Saccharomyces cerevisiae S288C: one gene and its partners. The gene in region 1 interacts genetically with each later gene. Each region holds a gene or a part of one and is shown on either strand. Other genes may lie near its edges. The genes, in order: RBD2, BZZ1 and INP52.

Region 1 (9,323 bases):
CTTTTGCTGTTACCGCCATTGGTAGTGTTGCCAGACATTCCAAAGGGAGATGGGCCTCTACCTTGATCTTGTGCCGCCGAGGAAGGCCCATTAGTACCACTCAAGTAATTGTTCTTGTTATATGGCTGCCGCTGCGATGAGCCAAACGATATTGAGCTCCTTTTATTGCCATTGTGAAAGGGATCCATTTGAAGGGCGTGTATTTGCTCCTATAATTCCTTTCCTTCTTGTTGTCTGTTGACCCTTTAGGTTGTATGCCACTCTCGAAAACCTAAAGAACTGATTACTAAATTATTTATACAAGATTTCAGATGACAAGATGGTTCACCCCTTGCCCCTGGTCTTCCTCCCAGTAATTATTCATATTCCATTTTTTTTCATAAACGCACGCTAAGGAAAAAGAAGAGACTGAAAATTCTTGCATATTAGAATATAAAATGATATATACTACATTTATATACATCCTTAAACTGTGAAAGAAAGAATAGCGATACAAATGTCTAGGCAGTCCCTAGGACAGTGCCGGAGTTGTCATTGTGGAGAGGCAATGGTGTTTCTGTGGACATTAACGGTTCGTAATCTTTAGTTCTGTCGATATCCTCATCTCTGTAATACTTAATTCCCCAAGGTATTAATCGAATTAAACCGTCTAAACTTTTTTCGATTTTGGTGATGATCCATCCTGGTGGAGTGATCTTGTTAAACCACGATTCCTTGTAGCCTATGGCGTAACCGACACATAAGCCGAAAAAATGACCCCAGAAACTGGAGCCAGGTATAACGACGGCAATTGCGACTAATAGTACTAGGGGTGTATATAATGTCGGAATTGAGTAGTCTGTGCGAAAGATCCTTGTTCTAGGGCGGATCTGTGATTCTTTAAAACTATAGTATGCGAATAAGGTGAAACACCACCCACTGGCGCCTGCAACTAATGCTTCTGGATATAGCAACTTACCCAACAAACAGTACAGAATTCCGGCAAATAGAGCACTCAGGTTCAAAAAAACACCTGTGTACACAGTCCCATGCGTTTCTTCGAAGAGATTCAAGGGTGCCCAGATGGCTAGCACATTGAACAGTAAATGAGGCAATGATAGGTGAATTAAAGGATAAAGCGATAGCCTGCTCATTTGCAGTTTGAACAATGACTCTGGCGCCAACGACAGGTCTTCCCTTAGGGCAAAAATAAAACTTAACAGGTAAATAGCGGTTAGAAATACCACAAGGCCTGTGGTCAACGCAGCTGGTGGATGACCACCGGGAAAAACGTACGACTTCCAATTCATAGCACGACCAAATAGCACAACCTAACAACCAGAGTGAATTGCTGTTCTCAGTGCTTCCAATTAAGCCTTTCCCATCCCCCTATTCTTCTTGTATCGATGCAGTTCAAAAAAAAAAAAAAAAAGAGGCTTTAGATCTCAAAGGGCCGAAAAAAGTGAAAAATTTTCTCGAGAAATCATAAAAGCAGCCATCGCCATATATAAACAATCTATGCATATGTATGCAGCATGGCATCGCATCTTTCTTGGCGACCCGGTAGTAGCATTTAACTTCCATTAGAACCATATAAAATGCATGGGCCTACTTCAAAAGCTATTTCCCGCAATGTGAGAAGCGTGAAGAGACCAAGAAGAGCACCTAGGCCCGTGGTCTCCACGCAGGCTATGAACAAGTTGTCTAACGTAACACTCTCTGCTGAACAAGAAAAGTTGAGAGAGCGCGTTTTGTCGTTCATGCGTTCCAACTTATCTCAGTACAAGTCTGACTGGAAACATCCGGCCATGTTTGTAATCCAAGGGGACGCAGGTACAGGCAAGTCTGTGATTCTAAACTCCTTGTTCAATGAAATTCAGAAACTATCCCAGTTCTCACCTTCTTCTGAAGATATCTTACATGGGACACATAATTATCTGGTAGTCAACCATCCCGAGATGTTAAAGTTATATATCCGGATTAGTGACAGTTTCAAATATATTTCTAAATCGTCACTAGAACGGCCCACTTCGTTGATCAACAATCTACAGAAGAGAAAAGTCATGGCCGATGTAGTCATTGTAGATGAAGCACATTTGTTGGCCACTTCTAAGGATGCTTTCAAAAGATTTTATGGCGAAAACCATCTCAAAGACTTAATGTCCCTTTGTAAAGTGCTTGTATTGGTTTACGATGATAAGCAAGCTTTAAGAATGGGTTCCTATTGGGATGAAGGTTCTAATAACGGTGCCACTTTAAAGGACTTTTACAACGAGATTCCACCAAAATCCAGAGACTGGTACACTTTAAAACAGCAGTTTAGGGTTGCTGCCCCACAAAACGTGTTGAACTGGATTGACCAAATTAGTGTCGCAGGTAAAATCCCACCAATTGAATCTGTGCTATCTAAGGGCAATGCAGATTGTGCTGACGATAAAATTAAGAATTTTGATTTCAAAATTTGGGATGATTGTGGCGCCATGTACGAGGCAATCAAGGAGAAAGACCGTCAATACGGCCAATGTAGGATGCTATCTACTTACGATTTTCCCTATCGCTTGGACGGAAAAGACTATTACGTTGAATGTGGTGACAATTTCAAAGTTCGCTGGGATCGCTATACTCCACGTGAAGTGACGCCTTGGAGTGAGCGTTGCGACACGATTGATGAGGTAGGTAGTGTGTATACTATCCAAGGGTTTGATCTGAATTATGCTGGTGTAATTTTGGGCCGTTCCATTGGGTATGATGCGGCTAATGACTGCATCAAACTAAGACCAGAGCTGTATGACGATAGGGCCGGTTTCACCAAAAAGAAAAACATTCACAATGCAGAGGACGTTAAGCAAAAGATTATTATGAATAGCATTAATGTCCTCTTAACTCGTGGCGTGCGTGGTCTGTATGTTTATGCATACGATCCTGAATTAAGAGAGAGACTGCTTCGTCCATCAAAAAAATAGGAAGTACATAGTATAGACAAATTTTATAAATATTAACTTTTATTTGTTGCGATCTTCACTAATCTACGCAGATTTTGCCTTCGGTATATTAGCCTTCTTCTTGTTGAGTGCTTCCCAAGTGATTCCACCAAATACTATAAACATCCCCACCCATTGCTGGAAACGTACACTCTTACCGAAGACAATAATACTCAAAATCATCGAGACCATTTTCCTGGTGACTGTTATCATGATCAAAACTAAAGAGCCAAATTGTTCTAGAGTATAGAAAATAAAGCATTGTCCCATAGCGCCACAGAACGAATAAAGCATTAAATAGCCCCACACTTGTGGGTCCATCGTCAATACAGAAACGGCATTATCCCATTGTTTGCAGTCGATCACAATAAAATACAAAATATTCCACAATATCACGAAGAGGTTCAGTGTAAACATCAAGTGTGCACCTGTTATCAAAGTTTGTTTTCCCTTTTCTTTGGCCTTATTGGCCTTTAGTAGCTTATCTTGGGTGGCGTTGGTCAATCCATCAAGGAATAAACTAGAGAAAAGTAGTCCAAACCCTTGTAATTTGTTATCATTTCCGCTCTCATTAAAGGATCTCTTCAACTTTTTACCATCGTTGCCACCTATAGTGAAAATAGTGACACCGAGACTTACCAAGAGAGCTACAACTTTTTTTTGGCTTGCTATGGGCGTCCTATACAAAAGCAAATGCACCAACAACACGGGGATCATCTTGCATGACTTTGCTAACATGTAAGTGAGATAATCCACGTGCTTTAAAGAAGTTGTAGCCAGCGGGCCTGAACTACTCTGTGTAAATGATATCAACATCAATTGTTTCCAATGATCTTTAATCATTTTTCTGGGCGGATATTCCACCTTCTTCCAGTTTAAGTACAGGTAGCCCATCATCATTGCCACAGAAGCTTGTATGAGGGATATTACATTAGGGAATTGAAACTTTCCCATGGAGTTTGGCCAGGTTCTTGTAGCCAAAGGCTCCTGTACTAATGCCCACGTCAAAAAAGTAGCATATATACCAATCGCACAGATCACCAAACTGGATGTACTTCCCGCCATACAAATATACGAATACTGCCTTGTTTACTTCTTCTTGTTACGTTGTAATTCTGGTTCTAATTACATTGCTGTCATTTTTTCATGTTCGATGGGATCTACAAAACAACCTTTAGAAGCGATCTCAGGGAAGCTTTGGAAGAGAAACAGCTGATGATTCTGGCATTCCACAAACTACAACAACGAACCAAACGACATATTCCATTGCAGTGATTTGATTGGGAGTAAGCTTTTATAAACGAGCAGACCAATATGATTTACGTAGTATTTCGTTGTCTTTACCACATCGTTGTTCGTGATAAGTTCTGAAAATTTTTTTTGGAGTATATTTGCTAGAGTTAATCCAACAATATTAGCATAAACGAGCAGCTGGAGACTAGGTTATTTGAATTATTTGAGCATCAAAGTGATCAATTGTATTATATTACAGTGTAATTTTCTTTTTTTCCATATTGAATCAAAAACTAGCCACGCTTGAAACTAAAGATGGTTGCCTATTCTCCAATCATTGCCACCTATGGTAATCGTGCAGAACAGTTTTTAGAAACAGACTCAGACTTCGCTAAGTATCATGCGAAATTGAATAAAAAGTTGCAACACTTGAGGAGCCGTTGCCATTTGGTCACCAAGGATACAAAGAAATACTCAAGTAAAAATAAGTATGGCGAAATTAACTCCGAGGATTATGATAATAAAACTAAATTGATTGGTGTTTTGATTTTACTACACGCTGAAAGGGACTTGGCACTGGCTGAAACTTTGAAATTGAGAGCTCGTCAAAGAGGAAAGTTAAAGAAAAGTGAAGAAAAGGTTTTATCCACAAGATTGAAGAAGGCCTGCAAGACTGCTGATAAATTGGTTAACGTCACTCAAAATGAACAGCAATGGATAACTCGTGCCCAATATTTAGCGTTCGCTAAATTGGTACATTCAGAGTACCTAATTAATGGAAAAAGGTTCAAGAGGAAGGACAATGCCAAAATTTCGAACAACCTAGCCCTCGTTTTCGCCGCATTGGAACACTTGAAGAATCTAAGCTTATTAGCTGAAGAAGTTGTAGATAACATTGTTAATAAATACCAGTACTCTCTCAAGCAGTACGCGGGAAATTTAATTACAACGCCCGAAATAAATAACTTTATCGTGGAAAGAGTTCAATCTGATGAGAACAAGGACGATGAGCTTGTGAAATTGTTATTAGACAATGGATTCAATATGAAAAAAATTACAACCTCAACTGAAGATCAAAAGGTTACCACTAACATAAACTGGAGATCTTTCAACGCCAAGATAATCGATGCTGAAGTTGCTCAATTTTTGGAACAAGGTCTATCTATCCACCCAACTCAGATTACTCAATATACACAGAGGCTATCAAAATTGGAGAAAGCTTTAGACCGTCATGAATTTTTCATCGCAAACCACGACGATCAAGATGACATAGACGAGATGGTTGAAAATAGTTCTGAAAACAATCAGATAATTTTAGCCTACATTAAATATAATATTCTTTTGACCTCTATATCTCGTGAAAGAGATTTGTTTACTCATTTATGGAATCAATGGCTGAAATTAAATACTTCATTACCATCGAAGTTAACCAAATATAAAGAAATGGAACGTATTGTGAAGAATTTGACAAAATATTTATCGGACATAATGGAGCTACCTGGTGTGTATTCAGATGACGAGCTGCTAAGCCAATTAGACTTATGCAAGCTGTATTTCCAGTTATTTCTGAATACGGGCTGCCTGAGTGTTTTATATCAGTCGAAAGGCAGATATATGGAGGCGTTAGCTCTATATGTGGACGCTTACCGAAGATTAGAAAACAAATTATCTGAAATTGAATCTCTAGACGAAATCTTACTTCCAGCAAATCTTTTGTCATTGAATTCTGTCCGAAGCTTACAAAAGAGAATCGAAAACGGTGGTAATAGTGTCATTACTTTGGCGGAATACGAAAAAAGAAATCATGGTGGCAGCTTAGGGAAATATGATTTGACAGTGATTGAAAAATTGGATAGTAAAAAAATACTGCCAACGGACATACAATTGAAAAATTTATTCCCTCTCAAGCCAAAAATGCTGCCCATTCCTAGTAAACCAACACTTTTTGATTTGGCCTTCAACTACATAACATATGATAAGCAAGAGCCCTCAGCTTCTCAAGTGAAAGATTCAGTCACAGAAACCGAGAGCATCTCTCAAACACCAATTTCTAATGAGCAGACGGAAGGAGAGCCTAAAAAGAAGCGTGGTTTCTTGGGCCTATTTGGTCGTTAATATTTTTCTAGTATGACTGTATTTATAGTACTATATAGATTATTCCATTTAAACAAATGATGATTGCCAACTATAGTAGCCAAATAACGAAGTGCATTACTTAACACATCTTATTTTTATCTACTGAAGATATCGCCAAATTACAGCACATGCTAAAAAGAAGATGTTTAGGGTCCTTTACATAACTATACGTTAAATTATTTTTGCTGCTGAAAATAAGGAAAATAAAAACAAAGATAAAAATAGAAAGAATGGGAAAATTTAGTAACAGCTTTTGCCCAATATGCTCAAAACCGAGTTATCTATTACAAAGCGTTCCTTTTATAGAAAAAACTGACAATCAAATGTAGTAATTGGCTATTGTTAACAACAACGTTGGAATGGAATAATTTCCACGTCTCGATTTTTGGTTCAACTTGAGTCTTTATCAAGTCTTTAAATGAGAAAGAATCGACATCATCCGAGTATCGTTTATCGGGCCCTTTTCTTTTGTCAATCATTTGAATACCGAATCTAGAACCATCCGATGTGGAAATTTTGAATATTATATCTGGGAATTTAGGACCGCTCGAACCAAAGACTTTTACAGTCAGTTCAGCTAGTTTTTCACCCCTGATGGTTTTAAGCACTCCTCTTTCATACAACTGCTTTGTGTTCCATTTAAACTTCATTCCCTGCAATTCAGAACGTTCTCTTCCTTGAACTTTTTTTACTGCATTCTTAAAATTTCCAAATTTACTTTTGTGCACCGGCGAAAAATCCTTGGCTTTCTGGAAGTCTTTTATCGTATGATCAACATGTTTTTTAAGCCTTGATAATTCTATATCTAAGCTGTGGTTCATTTCCGAAATTTTTGTGAGTGTTTCCTTTGTGATGTAAATTTCCTGGGTTACATAATCAATGGCATAGTTGGGATTTTTAATAGTGTTCGCAATATCGTTTAAGAAATTTTGTAACTTATTATCAGAAGAGCAAAAAGTCCCCGTACTTTCTAGTTCATGTATTTTTTTCAAAGTAACATTTTTGAGTGTGAAGTATTTCAATGGTTTCAGCTTCTGTATCATTGGATCATCCCTGATTTTAGGATTTTGCTCCAGAAAATTTGCAAAATTTGGTTCATCTTGAGGTAGAATTGTACTAATTGAAAGGTCATACAAATTGGTATCTACATCCTCAATTTGCATCATGTACACAAATGCCCTTTTAACTTGGTCGTAGATTTTTCTCATCTTGTCATCACTAACGAGGAATCGATATGCAGATGCATCCAATTCCAAGGTAACACGTCCTGATCTTGGAAAGGATGAATTGTCCAAGTTCTTTTCCAAAATATCATGCAAAATATCTGCTTCCGGAAATTCATTTAAATACTCTTCAAATTTACCACTGATTTCCAGAACCTTTTCAGTTAACAATTCCAATTTGGGGCTTGGCGATACCATATCCAAATAAATCAATCTATCTCCCTCTTGTTCATACTCTGGATCTACTAACACATTATAAAGGACATCTTTGATATGAGGCTTTATTTCGTTAGCGTACTGGTTCAATGGATCCAAAAAGCCATCAAAATTTTTGATTTCAAAAACAGTCGCCAAGGATTTCATTAGAATGTCAATTTTTTGGTTATTTTTTTGAACGTTGCTGTCTTTGTATCCGTAATATTCCCGGTTGACCAAATATTCAGACACAAAAACGTTCACTAGAATACTTGATATGGCCCTTAAAGAGTCAATCTCCTCAATATTCTTATCTGCCGCGTAGCAGAAGATTTTAGTGCAGAGGTACCTGATTTCAACGGGAATAGTGTGAACCTTTCTGGTATAAATTTCAGCGACCATTTCAATCGCGTGCCATAGGCACCTTAAATTGTCAATGAACTTATTCTTGGTACTCGCATCATCCACAGGCGAACAATGCTGAGGAGAGCTAAAGCCGTGTATTTCTTGATAAATTTTGTATGGATCACTTTCAAAATCCACTACTGGATCTGACAAGTAATCCAAAACTGGGACTATTATAGAGAAGAATTCTGGAGACTCTCTTCTCAAAAAATCTTGAAGAATGGTTTGCCAAAATTGTGATCGGTTGTCAAGAAAGCTTTCAATACTCGGTGCTTCATTAATCGCATTTTGTAACATTTCACAAACAAACCTTGTGAAATAGGATCTCTCTCTGTCGTTCATCCTTTGATTCACTGTTCCAAATGTCATATAAACATTCTTTGCAACAAATTCTGGCTCTTTCAAATACAGCAATTTCCAATAAGAGGGATCAACTTGCAACATATAGAACAGTTTTTCATACTTTTGATATTTAGACTTCGGAATCGTAGAATCGGAAATACCGAGTTCATGATCTTTATCTTTTAATAGTCCAAACTTATCCAATACTCCGTTAATATTTAGTTGTTGTCTTATGCTCTTCAGTAATCGTTCCTTCTTCATATTTTCGGAATCAAGAGAGGCTTGGCAACTCTCCAACTGGTTTTGGACCTCTTCAATGGTTGCTGTTCCATTGAGCAAATGAACGAATTTTTTGACAGCCCAAAGACTTGGATTTGGACAGTCTAGAAGTTCCAAATATGCCGATCTTTGCAGACTTTTCCTAATCCAGCTTTGAATCATAATAACCGACCTTACGTTTCTCTTGTAAAAACTCGACTTTTGGTCCAAGCTTTCACGTACTAAAGCGCCTCTAGAAAATGCTTGAAATAATGCTAAATTATTATACTCCACAATGTCATCGACTAAGTCTAATGTGTAGCGGACTAGAATACCTCTAACCAAACCCTGGAGGTCGTGCACAGTTTCACTGAGATTATTTTCGGGCGCAAACAGTGACTGTACCTTATGTCTTACAGCGTTTCCGCGTATACAGGCTGATAATTGAATAATATTACAGTTTTCTTTTCCAAGTGAATATATTATTGATGCTAGGCACGAACGCGTAAATATTCCTCTAATCAAGCTTTGCAATTTTGAGATATTTTCCTTATGTACATCATGTACAGCA
Region 2 (5,624 bases), on another chromosome or scaffold:
ATTGAACAAGTCTTGGAAATTAAAGGCCAATGCATTTAATAAAGAAGCCTTGAGCCGAATAAAAAATCTACAGAAACTAACTACTGGTTTAGAACAAGAAGACTGTTCCATTTGTCTAAACAAAATAAAACCTTGCCAAGCCATTTTTATATCACCATGTGCCCATAGTTGGCATTTTCATTGTGTAAGAAGATTGGTTATTATGAATTATCCTCAATTCATGTGTCCGAACTGTAGGACAAACTGTGATTTGGAGACTACCTTGGAATCCGAATCTGAATCCGAATTCGAAAACGAGGACGAAGATGAGCCAGACATTGAAATGGATATAGACATGGAAATAAATAACAATTTAGGTGTTCGCCTAGTAGATTGATCACATGAAATTTTGTGCTATATATATATATATATATATATATATATATAACATAGAGTCGTCATACCTCTCAAAAAAGTGGCGGCCAGGGAAAATATTTAATAGTTTCAGTTCATTCCTTCGTTCATTTACAGTAACTTGTAGGAAATAGACCTTTCAATCCGTCACATTCACCATATGTCCACCCGCTACCGTCATCGCCTCTGATAACAGTAATTATGTCCCCCGGATCAATTGAAATCTCATCATCTCCCTGTGCTTCGTAGGCATATATGGCCTCCATCGTCCTAACAGGTAGTGTACTCCTTCTTGGTGGTGGTACTTCTGGTGCAGGGCCTCTATCATTTGCTTTAACTGTAGCCGCGCTAGATATGCGAATATATGTGGTGGGTACAAGGCCGGTTTCCCCAGTGGTGTCGTTATTTATCTTAGTCCATCCAGAACCCGTATCGCGTGCAACCAAAGAGATTTTGTCTCCTGGCGTAATGGTGATTTCGTCATCATCCTTTTGTACGTATGCATACAACACTTTATTCTTGCCGTCATCACTGGAATTTTGTGTGGTCTTTTTTGTATTGTTGGTACTAGTGGTGCGTATAGAATTATTATCTGAATCTTCACCAGCGTTGTTAGGGGCAGAGCCTAGCCTAGTTCTTCTTGATGTGTTGAAGAGACTTGTTATATGCAAGGGTCCTCCGTTGCCATTACCAGTGCTCCCTCCACTCGAAGGCTTCGAGTCGACGTTCAGGATGTTGTGTTTGAACTTACTGAATATCCCGGATTTCTTCTTTGTTTTGGAAAGATCAATATTGTCTGTGGATAAATCGTATTCTTCAGGAACATTATTCTGAATACTTTCGATTTGAACTTCGGCTTGCAATTTTAATGTTTCGTGTGAGGTAAAGGGTGAAACGACATTTAAGTATTCCTTTAGTGTATCATAAAACTTAGTGGCATTGATATTATCTTCATTAGTTTTCATTTCGTGCTTTATCTTGTTCAAAGTAGACAGTTTGGATAACTCATTTTGAGTTTTATCTTGCAATGAATTGTAATCATTTTCTGCTTTTGCCAGTTTTATTCTCAAGTCTTCAACTTCCAACGACGAGGGAACAGCAAATTTTTCATCATCATGCCATACTGGAGATGGCTTATAGACAAAGTCTTGTGGTTCTTTCCAATTCTTTAGATTGTGCTTGATAAAGATGGCCGTGTTTAAAGAGGGTTTATTCTGCTTGACAACAGAATTTGCCGCCTGGAGTCTTTTGCTGACATTTGCACCCAGATCGTTCTCGACAGAAGCCGCCTTCAACCACAGATCATTTAAGAAAAGGGTCTTTGCCTCATTTACGTCTTGTAGAAGATCTAGCACTTCAGGAACATCTTGAAAATAGTATTTATCCTTAGTTCTATTTGCCTGGTTGATCTTGATTAAATATTCATTTTTACACTTGTTCATCTCCATTTCTTTTTCATCCAACTTCTTTTTATTTCTATCATTAGATGCCTTGGTATACCTATTTCTTGCCATTTCCATAGTGGAACAGGCTTCATCATAGTCCTTCTTCGCTTTTTCCAGTTCGTGGTAAATGTTATCCTTTTTATTAACCATGTCATTGTTAAATCCATTTATCTTGCTCAAAGTCATATCAAGTTTAGTGAATAATCCACTCAATTGATTTGCTACATGATTTTCAAAGTCGGTTGATAACTGATCATGATCCTTGGAAATCATATCAGTCTGAGATAGAATTTCATTCCATGCAACCACACCTGCAGCTTCAATGGACCCTGGCGTGGTAGTAGGTGTGTCACCTACCGAGATAGGAACTGAGGTCGAAGACTTCTTATTAAAGTACTCTGCTGATAAGCGAGATAATCTCTCGCTGTAGTCTTTTTCTAACTTAGCCCTTTCCCGATAAAATTGCTCAATGTCCTTCAACCATTTTAAGTTATTTTGGACCCATTTATGGGTTTCCTTAAATGAATCTTTAATTTCATTACCAATCGATAAATCTGCACTCATTTTTATTGCAAGTAATGTAGTAGTTGGCGTTTAAGGATAGATTTCCGCTCATACAAAATTGATCAATCTGCTACCTTCTTCAAAAACTATTTGCGTACAAACTAAATCTGTCTATTCCTTTGCTAAGCGTATATTCTTTTAAAAACTTTTTATTTTTCTGAAGACCCCGCGAAAGCTTATGTAGATCACAAGATATTATATATATTTACTATTTGTAAAATACAAAAGAGGGCAATAAATATACCGGATTATGAATCATCTAACAATTGCAGTTTAGACAACAATTTCAGATTCTATGGAAGTGTAGCGTTCAAAAAATTCCTTAAATAACTTGATTTGGAACTCCAGGTCTGCAGAGCCACCGGTCTCTCTAATCGAATGCATACTCAACACAGGATTACCCAAGTCTAGAGTTCTAATACCTGTCTTTGAGGCCAAAATGGGGCCGATGGTAGAACCGCATGGTGAGTCGTTAGCTACGACAAACAATTGCAAAGGGACTTTAGCAGCCTCTGCTAGTCTTTTCACCAAGACCAACCCTGGTGAATTGGTCATGTAACGTTGATTCGCGTTAATCTTGATTACGGGACCACCACCCAATAAGGGTTTGTGTTGGCTTTCGTATTTGTTTGCATAGTTTGGATGAACTGCATGAGCAACATCAGATGAAAGGAAAAACGACTTAGCGGAAGTTTCCAATATTGCCGAGTGAAACAAAGGTTTAGTTTGATCAGAACCGTCCCCCTTCAGGATGGACAACCTTTCCAATATATTAGGCAAGAAGTTAGAATCTGCCCCTTGGGCGGAGGATGAGCCAATCTCCTCATGATCAAAGCATGCCATCAATCTAATGCCTGATTCTCGGTCAATTTCTGTGTCAGCCGCCAACGTTAAACCGTGCATTGATGTGAAACAAGATGTCAAATTATCCAATCGACCAGAGAAGACAAACTCATCGTTGAACCCACCTAGAGTGGATGCATTATGATCATAAAGGATCAATTCGAAGTCTTCAATGTCTTCAATTGTATCAATGGCGAGTTCTTTGGCTATTAGCCCCAAAAGTTCTGCGTGATGCCTCTGTACTATCGTTTTTATGGAGGTAAACTCACCGTTATTAATTTCCTTTTCAGTTTTCGCTTCAGTTTTGTCTTCTTGCAGACCACCAATCGGCAACAGTTGAGTTTCTCTATTAAACTCGAATTTTTGATTTACGTCTCTGTCCAGATGAATAGCCAAAGTAGGAATCTTTAACAGAGGTCTATTCAAATCCACCAATCTAGCAATGGATTTGCCAGTTTTCGCATCCTTTACGAAAACTCTTCCGGCAACGCCCAAATCCTTATCAAACCATGAATGCCAAATAGCGCCACCATAAGTTTCCACGCCCACTTGTAAATACTTCTCACTGACTCTTTTAGAAATAGGCTTAATCCTTAATGCGGGGGAGTCGGTGTGAGCACCCGTAATGGCAATTGGATTACCAGGCTCCCACTTTCCACCAACAGCAAACGCAATAATGGAAGAGCCATTTCTTGTCACAAAGTACTTTCCTTTTTGTGCGACGTGGCCAGCCCACGAGTCACGTTCGCTCAACTCTTTGAAGCCATTTGACACCAGATGCTTTTTGATGTTATGAACTGTATGGTAAGGAGAGTGTGAGCTATTTAAGAAACTGACAAACTCCTTTGGGTAATCACTCTTGCATGTTTTGCTGGACATAGTTCTCAGTTGTATCCTGAACATAGAAAAGCTGAACCTTTTATTCTTTCTTTTTACCTACTTGCTCACATAACATGAATTTTTTCTTTCATTCATACAGGAGGAAAACGCCCTTTTTTCTTTCATTTAAGAGCGTGGAGATATCTGCAACTTTTCAGCAAGTATGATAAGGCTAAAATGATAAGGAATAGAAAACCGTAGCCAGAAACTAGTATCTCGAAAGCCAAGGCAGGCTTCTGTTGCAAAAATAAGCAGACCTTAAACTAAAGGAGTTTACTCCTTGGCGGAACACTGAATCACATTATATACGTAAGTTGAACGGGACTATTTATCACGTGTGATTATGTGGTCTCCATGTCAGTCGCAATATTTACAGTATATATAAGGGAAAGAGGGCCAGTTGTAATAATTGTAGTACGTGAAATAACTGTTTCTGAAGTCCTTCACATACGCTTTGGTACGGGATTAACCACTTACTGATAGACCTCAAGGATATCTTGTGAGTTCTTGTCAAATGGTGAAACTGTGGTTTCTATTTTTTTGCGGTGTTTAATTCAGAGTGCGATCACTTGATGGGTTTATGCAACACGCGATATATAAGCATATTGCGCAACAATAGATCGTTGCAATCCCTCCATCTCTTCAAATGTTGTAGTACATGCTATAAAGGAAAGATTGCACGAAAAGAGTACGTAAGATGGTGGACTTGTCAACAGCTTTGATTCATGGCGATGATAAAGATAACAGGGTTACTGACGTGGCGCCCCCAATTAATGTCTCTACAACCTTCCGTTACGACGATGACGACCTAATTCCATGGACAGAGCGTGAAAACTTGGACTTTATGGAGAAGAAGCCCGTATATTCACGGCTAGCGCATCCAAATAGCACCAGATTAGAGAGTATCTTCTCAGAGATCCTCGATGGTTATGCTGTCATTTATTCTTCAGGGTTAGCTGCGTTCTATGCGGCAATGGTACATTACAACCCTAAGAAGATCTTTATCGGACAGAGCTACCATGGTGTTCGAGCAATTGCTAACATATTGACCCGTAATTACGGCATTGAGCAACACCCCTTGGAAGATATTGAAAAATGTGCTTCTGAAGGTGACATTGTCCATCTGGAATCTCCTGTAAACCCATATGGTACCTCTTCTGATATCGAGAGTTTGGCCCGCAGAGCTCATGCAAAAGGCGCCCTGCTTATAGTGGATTCCACATTCGCATCTCCTCCATTGCAATACGCATGGAATTTCGGAGCCGATATTGTCCTATACTCTGCTACTAAGTACTTTGGTGGTCATTCTGACTTGTTAAGTGGCGTCCTTGTAGTCAAAGAGGAAGCAACTTCCCGACAACTAAAAGACGACAGAATCTACTTGGGTACAAACGTGGCAAATTTGGAAAGTTTCATGTTGTTGCGATCCCTGAGAACCTACGAAATGAGAATAACCAAACAATCAGAAAATGCTACGAAATTAGTTAGATTTTTGTCAGA
Region 3 (12,754 bases), on another chromosome or scaffold:
GACTTCATCCTTATGCTAATCCTGTACCGAATTCCGACAATGGAAATGAGCAGAATACAACAGACCATAATAGTAAAGATGCAGAAGTTAGTTCTGTGTATTTTGATGAAATTGTATTCAATGAGCCAAATGAAGAGTTTTTCAAAATTTTAATGAGCCGACCAGGAAATTTGTTACCTTCAAACAAAACTGATGATTGTGTATACTCCAAGCAATTAGAACAGGAAGAAATTGACAGAATAGAGATCGGCATAGAAAAGGTTGACAAGGAAATTGACGAATTGAAGCAGAAACTGGAAAACTTGGTAAAACAAGAAGCCATTAACGGAAGTTAGGATCACTGCACCCGGAACAACGGTATTTTCATAACAGCCATAGTAATACAGATCATGGTTTGAAAGGTCGGCGCTCACAAAACCGAAATGTGTGCAGAGTCATATAAACATCTAAACAACAGTTATGATACATATTCTATAAATGCGTAATTTTAGTAACACAATTTAATTGGGGTCGCAAGGCTTCAATGGATGAACGCTTAGCTTCTCTAGTTCAGGGTTCTTCGCAGGAACTTTTGGTTTAGACTTTTTCTTGCAAGGGAGTTCCTCTTCAGATTTTGAATTCGACGGGGAAACTTTTATTGAGTGTTCTTGAGAGGTGTTAAGCTTGTTAGCAGCAACACTTAAATAATGCGGTTTTTTGACAACTGGTGGCTTCTCAGGTTTTGTGGAGGCCTTTGCTGGCTCAGGATCTTCTGTAGTGGACACACCTGAATTTTTGGTAGATGTAGAGATTTCGTCCGGGGCAGTACTGCTCTTCCTTCTAATAGGAGGACAAGGTCGAGGAACAATTTTCCCATTATCTATGGTCTCTTTAGCATGCTGTAATTCTGAAGAACTTTTCTGTAAAGAGACTGGCTTAGATAAAGATAAAGCGGGCACTGGCGGCAGTGGTTTGGGTGTACTGTGTCTCTCTAAGGCAGGAAGATTGCTCTCACCTTTACGCGGCGATACGCTGACAATGGAAATCTCTTTGGTAGGGGAAAGAAGTTTAGAAGATGGTTCCTTATTGTGCCTCGAGGTAGGAGGAGGCGGAGGAAGCACATTGAGCTTACTTTTATCGGGTGATACGTTACTGAGTCCTCCAGGGCCAACAACAGACGGTTGGGGACTGGGACCAGAAAGTAGAGGCGAAACGCACGAGGAAGTATCATCTAGGTCAATTAGTTTTATGCCCGCTGATTGAACGGTTGCATCTAAGGGTATACTTTCCTTTTGTTTTTCCATTCTTGCATGAGAAAGTTCGTCAGGACCTGTAGTTAGTGCTTCGGGATGCGTATTCTTATATTCTGCATACAGCTTCTCAACTAGGTTAAGCTTCTCTTTTTCGTCAACAAATTTCACATTTGCCCTATATGCAGCATAAACTGGTTTATGATCGCTTATTTTTAAAGGTGCGTCCGAATATGCCAATGGATGCAGGTTTTCACCTTTATATATGATTCTATCAGTCCAAGACGGAGTTCTCGCCTTTTCAGAAGTATCATAATTATCTGTGCCATAATCATATTTATAGGTCGGACGGAATTGGAGGGTCGGTTCTTTAAAGCCCTGAAATACCACTCCTTCATTTATTTCTTGAGTCAACTGATCATATTGAAGCAATCTATCAATATAGCCATCCTTTTGAGCCCTTAATTCTCTTCTAACTTCATCATTTGTCAAAGTTATCCTGTAGTTAAGGTCACCCAACCAAAACAACGAATCATGGTGTGGAATTGTCTTTGATCTTGGAAAGGTTATGTTCCTGTAGATATTGTTGTAGTCATTGCGACGTTCGTCAATGTTACTCGCACCTGCTGATAAATGTGTATTAACGAAACAGAATGAAGTTGCCCCATAATCGAATCTAATGGCTACTGCACCTTTGTTTCCAGTAATACCACCAAACCCAGTCTTTTTGGTAGACCCACCTACCTCTTTTATGTTATAGGCTCTATCTGATCTTGCAAAAAATAGTATCAAAAGAGAGGACATCTGTTCCACTCTAAGTAAAAGATATTTTTCTTCGTATTGATTCAAACAGTCAGTAACCATAGTTTCCCAAAAAGAACTTTTCGTATAATCTGCATTCAAGATAGACCCTGCGGTCAACTCTATAACTTCCTGCAACCCTAACACAACGACATCAGGTTTGAATTTATCGCCGATTGGAAATAACCATTTTGACAAATCTGCTCTTCGAGAGTTTCCGTTAACATTGAATGTACCGACAAACAAATTTATGTTAGAATGAGTGGTGAATTTTTCCTCTGACTCTAACAGCCTTTCATTGACGTATTCGCAGATTGGATCATAAAGTTCAACAACTTGCTGGTGCGGTAGTTTGCCCAAAAGTGTGTCAATATTTTGCTGTTTTCCTTTATCTACAAAATTGTTGATGTACATTCTACTAACGGACTTCGTCGCATCAGAAAGGGCGCCAGAAAAAGACATTTTACCTTTCCTTGAATAGGACGATTTCAGAGCATTTGTCCCAGTGTAAATTTGTGATATCTGATCTCCGTTGTCGGCCCATAAAGCATTCACCTTTTGCACAAATTCATTATCGTCGATGAAACTACTGGGTTTTACCAATCGGAAGTCTTCCAAAAATAGTTTGAAAACGGCCAGTGAAATCGTCTGTTGGATCAAATTTGTTCTATCTAAACAATCCAAGCAATTGGTTCTAAAGACACCGTCTTGTTCGGATATTAATCGCCCTTCTTTTACATCGTATGAAAAGTAACCGGCGTCCAAAATTGTGTTTCTTATTTTAGGGATAATCCTACTTGCAGCTGCAAACCCATCTTGCGAAGTTTCTCTATGGAAATCAAAGCTTGTTAGGAACACATCTCTACCGATTTTCATTTTCTCAGAATTTTTCAACTGTTCCTTGTATCGCCTCGATAATTGAATTTCTGAAGATTTAGTAGACAGCAGGTTGATTATATGAACTGGCCCATACTTCTTAAATAGTCTTATAAAATGTTCATCAAACGTGGGCTGTGTTGCTTCAACAGATCTGGTAATTTGAATCTTTGGACTAATCAAAGATGTATCCTGCTCCCAAAAAATTGGAAGGCTTCCTCTTATCTGCGTGAAAGCATAACAATACTGAGAAGAGTACATAATCATTTCTGTTTCAACAAAATTTGCGACATGGCCATCATCATCTATACCACGTGCATTAAACCTTGTGCCTGCTCTTTTCCAACTTTGCCTGGAAATAATGGTAAGTCCTACTTTCAACCTATTAATATAGCTAAAAATTGTTTCAGCAAACCCTCGGATTACGGTCGTGAGGAATCCTCGTTGATCCAATAGTTCTTTGGCCGTTACATCTAGTCTGTCTCTGTATGTGATGATTTCGTCCATAAGAAACGAGTTCCACATAAACTCCCGGTCAAAATCATCAAAACTCAAAGAGTGTTCCGTGAATCCACGTTTCTGCAATGTACAAGTTAAATCAAAATCGGTGCTGTAATAAAAAGATCCATTTGATAATAGCTTTCTTAGTTCATGACATGGATGCTTGGGAGCTTGTTCTTGAGCATTCAAACTCCTAGAGGAAGAAGAACGTAGCGATGATCTAGAAGAATGTGTGGAAATACTAGGAGGCGAGCTTATTGCAAAATCTCCATCATTAGTAACAATCGGATAACCGGATGAATCGATGTCCATGAAATCCCATTTAGAATTATTTAAGCAAAAAAAATCCACAGCATATATTTTGTTAACCGTTTTGTTTGGGATCGGCTGGGCCACCTTAGATTTACCTGTTATGGTTGCTATGAACATAAGGCCTTCAATTTCTATGAGACCAATAAAACCGTATATTTCATGGTTAGATAGTCTTCTGAAACCATTACCATTTAATTCAGCTTTCGGAACCAATTCCACGGCACATGTAGATCTGCGAGAGTTCTTACTGTTTATTGGCCTAAATACCAGTCCATGTGTTTCTGAAACTATTGCTATCTTTCTAGTTTGCTGTTTCGATAGGAGTATTTTCATAGCTACTGAGTATTTGTTTTTGATTCTGCTGCCTTTGCGTGGCCTTTGTCACCAATTCTGCGAACAAAAATATGTTGAGACTATATGAAGCGAGTACTTATTGTCCTTTATGCCTAGTTTTCCAGTTAAATCTCTCTTAATAACTCCAGGTTTGTTTCAATTTCGTCACTAACCGCCAAACAAGTTTCGGGTCACCCCACACGTATTTGGTTCAAGAATATACTAAAAAAAGAAAAACAAGCACTAGCCCTAGATATGGAAAAAAAGATATTAAAACGTAATTCTAATTTAGACATCCGTGCTTCTAGTAATTATATGGTTAAAAAAAAAGGAAAGGAAGTAAATAAATAAGTATAGAAATAAATAGAAGCGAATAAGTCCTGAAATACAGAAAAGTTCTTATGCAGAGCCAGATGCCGCAGCATTCTTACCTTCGACCTCGGCCAAAGATGGAATGGACACATCACCAGAATGGATAATATTGTTAATGGTGGCAAAGATGGCTCTCACTGAAGAATCACCGACATCTTCGGAGACACCTACACCCCATTTGTAGGCCTTTTCGTTGTCGGCATTACGCCTATACGATAGATGGATGTAAGAAGCAGCTTGCGTAGAAGAACCAGAACCTAGAGAATGCTCTGTGTAGTTTGCTACGGCAAATCTCACGTTCAACAAGTTTGATAGGGCGTCGACCAAAGAAGAGATTGGACCATTACCTGTACCTTCAATATCGACGATCTGGTCGCCTACTTTGACTTGACCAGTGAACACTCTACGTTCAGTGCCGAATTTTTCAACATTATAATTGACTAAACTAATAGCTTGGTACTGTTCGTCATTGTAGTTGTAAGCCTCTTTGAATAACTTGGAAATCTCATCTGATTTTAGTTCTCTACCCAAGGAGTCAGCATGGTCTTGAACGGCGCTAGAAAATTCGATTTGCATGTTTCTTGGTAGATCCAAACCCAAAGATCTCAAAATAACCCAAGCGGCACCACCTTTACCAGACTGAGAGTTGACTCTGATGACAGCTTCGTAATCACGGCCAATGTCCTTTGGATCCAATGGCAAGTATGGGATTCTCCATTGAGTTTCACCTTGAGCACGCTTCTTGTTTTGTAAGTTGAAACCCTTCTTAATGGCGTCTTGGTGAGAACCGGAAAAGGCACAAACGACCAAGTCACCGCCGTATGGTGCTCTTTGCGATACTGGGATCTTATTACAACGCTCAACCACATCTAGGACAGAGGTCAAGTCAGAGAAATCCAAATTAGGAGAAACACCTTGGGTATACATATTCATAGCAACAGTAACCAAGTCCACATTACCTGTACGTTCACCATTACCAAAGAGACATCCTTCTACACGGTCGGCACCTGCAAGCATACCTAACTCTGTGGCGGCGACACCGCAACCACGGTCATTGTGACAATGTGTAGAGATGCAAACCTTCTCACGCTCAGTAATATGGGTAGCGAAGTATTCAATCTGATCAGCATAAACATTTGGAGAGGCAACTTCTACGGTAGCAGGTAAGTTGAAAATGATTGGATTTTCCTCGGTAGGTTCCCAAGCCTTCTTAACAGCTTCGCAAATTTCTACAGCAAATTCACCTGGAGTATCACTGAAACATTCGGGGGAAAACTCATAGGACCAACGAGTGGCTTGTTGGGAAGGGTCATCCTTAGTTAGTTTCCTAACTAGTTTGGTGGCCTCTACTGCCTTGGAAATAGCTTCCTCTCTAGACATATTAAAAACAATTTCACGGAACATATCACTTGTTGCCAAGTAAGTATGTATAGTAGCCTTTTTAGCACCTGTTAATGCTTCCACCGTTCTCTTAATCAAGTGTTCTCTAGATTGGACAAGACATTGAATACTAACATCGTCTGGGGCGTTTTCTACAGCATATCTAGTGAAGTCGAAATCTGTTTGAGATGCAGAGGGGAAGGAAACCTCGATTTCTTTGAACCCAATATTGACCAGCTTGTGAAAGTATTCTTTCTTTTGTTCCACTGACATGGGATCCGGCAGAGATTGGTTACCATCTCTCAAATCTGTTGATAACCAACGAGGAGCCCTCGTGATCCGGTTATCCGGCCACTTTCTATTAGATAGCTTTGGAGCGTTAAATGGCTTGTACTTGGAGGAAGGGTCCTTAAGCATATTTTTATAGGCTAGCTTCACTGGAGGAATAACTCTTGAGGCTCTGGAGGCCGCATGCTCAGCAAGAGCAATAATACTCTCTTTAACCATGATTGTTCCTTGTCTTTTTGTAAGGAAAAAGTCTACAGTAAACTTCTAGTGTGAGAATCCTTTTTTTTCTTCAAAAAATACCCTTTGAAAGAACTGAGTCACTTACACGTAAGTTTCTTTTTACTGGTCAAGTTGAAAAATAACCAATAAATGATTATGGAAAGAACGTTGAAAGAGGAGAGAGGCTGACCCAAGAGGAGAAAACATCGAACCTACGCGACTCCATAGCGCACATCTCCCATGCGCCCGTGCTTATATATATATAAATATACATACACACATACATGCACGCACATACATGCACGCGCATGACAGTGACTGGCCGTTACTGTACAATTTTTTCAGCCAAGTATGACACACATTCAACTCAGCTTTTCTGAGGCCTTCTTTCTTTTCCTGCGCGTCGGTAGAGCGATGACTAACCTACTACTGTCTCAGAGCCGGTCCCGCTCCGGTAGCAATCCTGGGGCTGGTCATAACAGCCGAGTGGAAGTGTCAAAGCGGAGAACAGAAGCATAAGCTCAATCGCTGGACATACGGATGCTTATATACGTCTTATTGTCGTTGAAAAATATCGAATTTTTTACTTCATTTATCGAGGCTTCTTCGAGCACTTTTCCGCTATGGCTTTTTCCCCGTTTCCTTTTAATCACGTGCGCGGGTAGCACCCGGCACACAGCTGGTGTCTCGTCGCACATGCTATTGTGTGTCATCGGGCCACACAAGCATATTGCTTGAATTTTCTTTCATCGTTCAACTTAAATCCACCCAATCTAGATGTAGCCGTAGCATGTAATAACGTATATCCTTGTTTACATGCATCTGTGCCAGGTGAAACGGTCTGTTTGAACGCACATCATTTCATATATTAGTCAACTCCTGAAGGTCTTCTTGCCTGTCCGTCAACTGTTTAGACAGACTCTCGTCAATAAAGCGCACTTCTGATAAGCACTTTTATTCCTTTTTTTCCACTGTGAACGATGAAGCAGGAGCAGTCCCACGAAGGCGACTCATACAGCACGGAATTCATAAATCTCTTTGGCAAAGATACCGCAACACACCCTAGCAGCAACAACGGTGCTAATAATAATGGCATGGGGAGCACGAACTCGTTGGACCAGTTTGTGGCAACAGCCTCATCGTCATCTTCTCTGGTGACCAGCAGCGAGAATAGGCGCCCCCTAATAGGTGACGTTACCAATAGGGGCAACACTAACCTATATGACCACGCTGTCACGCCAGAAATACTCTTAGAACAGTTGGCCTACGTGGATAACTTCATACCATCTCTGGATAACGAGTTCTCTAATGTGGATTGGAATGTGAATACCACCCATAATAATGCAAACAATAATGGCGCGGACACTTTCAGCAGCATAAATGCAAATCCTTTTGACTTGGATGAACAACTAGCCATTGAGTTGAGTGCGTTTGCCGACGATTCTTTCATCTTCCCAGACGAGGATAAGCCGAGCAATAACAATAACAACAGCAATAATGGTAATGACGACCATAGCAACCACGACGTATTGCATGAGGACCCTTCTACCAATAATAGACAAAGAAATCCTCACTTCTTGACTCAAAGAAGGAATACTTTCCTAACTTCCCAATACGACCAATCAAAGTCTCGATTTTCGTCCAAAAACAAAAGAAATGGCAATAACGGCGAAACAAACAACTTTGGCGACAATATGCAAAATAACCATCCTTTTGAGCCAAACTTTATGGGAAGCCCTTCTCAGTTTCCCGCTGACGCAACTAATATGACATCAATCGACCATGGCGGCTTCACAAATGTTGACATTACATCAACTGAGAACAATACTACCGGTGACAATGGAGTGGATGCGCTATCAAATCTACTACATAGGACAACACACACACCGAACCGCTCCTCCCCCCTAAGCAATGTCACTTCTGCTCAAAATTCCTCTTCACAACAACGAAAACATTCGGAAAGCAAAGTCGATAGTAACAGCGATAATAACAGCTCCAACAAAGCCCCCAATATAACTGTTCCTGACTATTCAATTATACCAACCTCTGTTTTAGTAACTCTATTACCGAGGGTCAACGTGCCCAACGGCGCATATAACTCGTTGATCAGCGCGGGATTTGACAATGATCAAATAGATGCTATAGCCGCAATAATGGCGTATCATCATCAAAAAAAGATTAGGGAAAATAACAGTAATAATAATAAAAACATCAACACCAATGACAGTCAAGAGGCACCCATTCTAAAAAACATCAACGAACTTTTAAGTGTCTTAATACCACCCTCTCCGGCTGAAACTGCTGCGCCAACTACCTTATCAACGTCGCCTTCGTTCAATGAGCACGGTGTAGTAGCAGAGGCTTCTTTTCTAAGCTCCATTTTGGAACTGGGCATAAAGCATCCAAAAAGTAATAATATTCACAATCAACGACAACCTTCACGAAACGATCATAAAATATCAAGAGAGAGTGACGGTAACAATGGAAACGATAATGTCCATCATAATAACGCTGTTATTAAGTCAAGTACGACGCGTGGAGACGAAATTGCCAAGATACGATCCGAGCCAACTTTAAATGCAAGTTCTTCTGATCACAAGGAAAATAGTTTAAAAAGATCACACTCCGGAGATTTGAAAAATAAAAAAGTACCCGTCGACCGCAAGTATTCTGATAATGAAGACGATGAATATGACGATGCAGATTTACACGGCTTTGAAAAGAAGCAACTGATCAAGAAAGAGTTAGGGGACGACGATGAAGATTTATTGATACAGTCGAAAAAATCTCATCAAAAAAAAAAACTAAAGGAAAAGGAGTTAGAATCATCGATACATGAACTGACCGAAATTGCAGCATCCTTACAAAAACGGATACATACGTTAGAAACGGAAAACAAGCTTTTAAAGAATTTAGTTCTGAGTAGCGGTGAAACGGAAGGAATAAAAAAAGCTGAAAGCTTAAAGAAGCAAATTTTTGAGAAGGTTCAGAAAGAATAAAATAACAGACTATACAGTTTAATTATATATATATATATATATACGTGCATTTTTCTTAAAGAAATATAACTTTTTTCTTGTACTGCCTGCAATCTCTATTCTTCATTCATCACACATCTATTCAAACGCGTTAAAATTTTTTTGTTAGCCTATAAGTAAAACGCGTCGCGTGTATCCAATTTTACTGAATTAAATTCTTTACTCATTGGATGATATATATCTTCTTGGTCTAGACAACGAACACATACCAATTCAGACTCACGAGAAAAAAAACTGTCTTCACTCTGCTATTAGAAACCAAATAGTATCAAGGCATAAAATAAACAGTGGAAAATGTCTTCTAAAAGTGAAAAATTAGAAAAATTGAGAAAGCTGCAAGCCGCTCGAAATGGTACATCCATCGATGATTACGAAGGTGACGAATCAGATGGTGACAGAATATACGACGAAATCGACGAAAAAGAATACAGGGCCAGAAAGCGCCAGGAATTGCTGCATGACGATTTTGTTGTAGATGACGATGGTGTAGGCTACGTCGATCGTGGTGTCGAAGAAGATTGGAGGGAAGTTGATAACAGTTCAAGTGATGAAGACACTGGAAACCTTGCTAGCAAGGATTCTAAAAGGAAGAAGAATATAAAAAGGGAGAAAGACCACCAGATTACAGATATGCTGCGAACTCAACATTCCAAATCAACACTGCTAGCACATGCAAAAAAATCCCAAAAAAAAAGTATCCCCATCGATAATTTTGATGACATTCTTGGTGAGTTTGAATCTGGTGAAGTAGAAAAACCCAATATTTTACTGCCATCCAAATTAAGGGAAAATTTAAATTCTTCGCCGACTAGTGAATTTAAATCGTCAATAAAGAGAGTTAACGGAAACGATGAGTCAAGTCATGATGCCGGTATTTCTAAAAAAGTCAAGATTGATCCAGATTCAAGTACTGATAAATATTTAGAAATCGAATCATCACCGTTAAAATTACAAAGCAGGAAACTGCGCTACGCAAATGATGTACAGGATTTATTGGATGATGTGGAAAATTCCCCAGTAGTAGCCACAAAGAGACAGAATGTACTTCAAGATACGTTACTAGCAAATCCACCATCCGCTCAAAGTTTGGCTGATGAAGAAGATGATGAAGATAGTGATGAAGATATTATTCTGAAAAGAAGAACTATGAGAAGTGTGACAACAACTAGACGCGTGAATATAGACTCAAGAAGTAACCCTTCAACTTCACCGTTTGTCACAGCACCCGGAACGCCAATCGGTATTAAAGGACTAACTCCAAGTAAATCTTTGCAGAGCAACACCGATGTTGCTACACTTGCGGTTAATGTCAAAAAGGAAGATGTGGTAGATCCGGAAACTGATACTTTCCAAATGTTTTGGTTGGATTACTGTGAAGTGAACAACACTTTGATTTTATTTGGTAAGGTTAAACTAAAGGATGATAATTGTGTGTCAGCCATGGTTCAAATCAACGGTCTCTGTAGAGAGCTATTTTTCCTTCCAAGAGAGGGTAAAACACCTACCGATATACACGAGGAAATAATTCCGTTACTGATGGATAAATATGGACTGGATAATATCCGCGCTAAACCTCAAAAAATGAAATATTCGTTTGAGCTTCCTGACATTCCATCTGAAAGTGATTATTTGAAAGTCTTACTTCCATACCAAACACCGAAGTCCAGTCGAGACACCATTCCATCGGATTTATCTAGCGATACCTTTTATCATGTTTTTGGTGGGAATTCCAATATTTTTGAAAGTTTTGTTATTCAAAATAGGATTATGGGACCATGCTGGTTAGATATAAAGGGAGCAGATTTCAATTCAATTCGTAATGCTTCTCACTGTGCGGTTGAAGTTTCGGTAGATAAGCCTCAGAATATCACGCCTACTACAACAAAGACAATGCCTAATCTGAGATGTCTATCTTTATCGATTCAGACGTTAATGAATCCCAAGGAAAATAAGCAAGAGATTGTTTCGATAACGTTATCAGCATATAGAAATATCTCGTTGGATTCACCGATACCTGAAAATATAAAACCAGACGACTTGTGTACTTTAGTAAGGCCGCCTCAGTCAACTAGTTTCCCATTAGGTTTAGCTGCACTGGCAAAACAGAAACTACCCGGTAGAGTCAGGTTGTTCAACAACGAAAAGGCCATGCTATCTTGTTTTTGTGCTATGTTAAAAGTGGAAGACCCAGATGTTATCATAGGCCATCGTTTGCAAAATGTCTACTTAGATGTTTTAGCTCATAGAATGCATGATCTCAACATTCCAACGTTCAGCTCTATTGGCCGTCGTTTAAGAAGGACTTGGCCTGAAAAATTCGGTAGAGGAAATTCGAATATGAACCATTTTTTTATTAGTGACATTTGCTCTGGTAGGCTGATATGTGATATCGCCAATGAAATGGGTCAATCATTAACACCCAAATGTCAAAGTTGGGATCTTTCAGAGATGTATCAAGTTACATGTGAAAAGGAGCATAAGCCGTTAGATATTGATTATCAAAATCCACAATACCAAAATGATGTAAATAGTATGACAATGGCCCTACAAGAGAATATTACTAATTGTATGATTTCTGCTGAGGTGTCTTATAGAATTCAATTATTAACCTTGACTAAACAGTTGACAAATTTGGCTGGTAATGCATGGGCCCAAACGCTAGGCGGTACAAGAGCTGGTAGAAATGAGTATATCTTACTACATGAATTTTCAAGAAATGGTTTTATTGTTCCTGACAAAGAAGGCAATAGAAGTAGAGCTCAGAAACAAAGACAAAATGAAGAAAATGCTGATGCACCAGTTAATTCTAAAAAGGCAAAATATCAGGGTGGTTTAGTTTTTGAACCTGAGAAAGGTCTTCATAAGAATTACGTTTTAGTCATGGACTTTAATTCTTTGTATCCATCTATTATCCAGGAATTTAATATATGTTTTACCACCGTTGATAGAAATAAGGAAGATATCGATGAGTTACCAAGCGTACCTCCTTCAGAGGTGGATCAGGGTGTTTTACCAAGGTTATTAGCTAATCTGGTGGATCGTCGACGTGAAGTTAAGAAGGTGATGAAAACTGAAACTGATCCCCATAAGCGAGTTCAATGTGATATTCGTCAACAAGCTCTAAAATTGACTGCCAATTCTATGTATGGTTGTTTGGGTTATGTTAACAGTAGATTTTACGCAAAGCCGCTCGCCATGTTAGTCACTAATAAGGGTCGTGAGATTTTAATGAATACAAGACAACTAGCTGAAAGTATGAATCTTCTTGTAGTTTATGGTGATACAGATTCGGTCATGATAGATACCGGTTGTGATAATTATGCGGATGCAATTAAAATTGGCTTGGGATTTAAAAGGCTAGTAAATGAGCGCTATAGATTATTGGAGATTGATATTGATAATGTT

The links.
Region 2: of RBD2 (region 1) and BZZ1, changing one suppresses a phenotype caused by changing the other (phenotypic suppression), as found in Saccharomyces cerevisiae (one study listed by BioGRID).
Region 3: of RBD2 (region 1) and INP52, changing one suppresses a phenotype caused by changing the other (phenotypic suppression), as found in Saccharomyces cerevisiae (one study listed by BioGRID).

What each region holds. Positions count from the first base shown.
Region 1 is NC_001148.4:84,009-93,331, forward strand, and holds RBD2 (putative rhomboid protease RBD2), read right to left. Parts: upstream 1,290-9,323; coding exon 501-1,289; downstream 1-500. Other genes in the region: YPL247C (uncharacterized protein), read right to left, coding at 1-188; YPL245W (uncharacterized protein), read left to right, coding at 1,578-2,942; UDP-galactose transporter HUT1, read right to left, coding at 3,006-4,025; signal recognition particle subunit SRP68, read left to right, coding at 4,509-6,308; IQG1 (Iqg1p), read right to left, coding at 6,614-9,323. UniProt on the Saccharomyces cerevisiae protein: Probable rhomboid-type serine protease that catalyzes intramembrane proteolysis.
Region 2 is NC_001140.6:334,861-340,484, reverse strand, and holds BZZ1 (Bzz1p), read right to left. Parts: upstream 2,403-5,624; coding exon 501-2,402; downstream 1-500. Other genes in the region: ubiquitin-conjugating protein DMA1, read left to right, coding at 1-376; APE4 (aspartyl aminopeptidase), read right to left, coding at 2,676-4,148; YHR112C (putative cystathionine beta-lyase), read left to right, coding at 4,822-5,624. UniProt on the Saccharomyces cerevisiae protein: Plays a role in endocytosis and trafficking to the vacuole. Functions with type I myosins to restore polarity of the actin cytoskeleton after NaCl stress.
Region 3 is NC_001146.8:420,444-433,197, forward strand, and holds INP52 (phosphatidylinositol-3-/phosphoinositide 5-phosphatase INP52), read right to left. Parts: upstream 4,053-12,754; coding exon 501-4,052; downstream 1-500. Other genes in the region: YEATS domain-containing protein YAF9, read left to right, coding at 1-335; 2-isopropylmalate synthase LEU4, read right to left, coding at 4,452-6,311; MET4 (Met4p), read left to right, coding at 7,292-9,310; DNA-directed DNA polymerase alpha catalytic subunit POL1, read left to right, coding at 9,644-12,754. UniProt on the Saccharomyces cerevisiae protein: Dephosphorylates a number of phosphatidylinositols (PIs) like phosphatidylinositol 4,5-bisphosphate (PtdIns(4,5)P2), but also phosphatidylinositol 3-phosphate (PtdIns(3)P), phosphatidylinositol 4-phosphate (PtdIns(4)P), and phosphatidylinositol 3,5-bisphosphate (PtdIns(3,5)P2).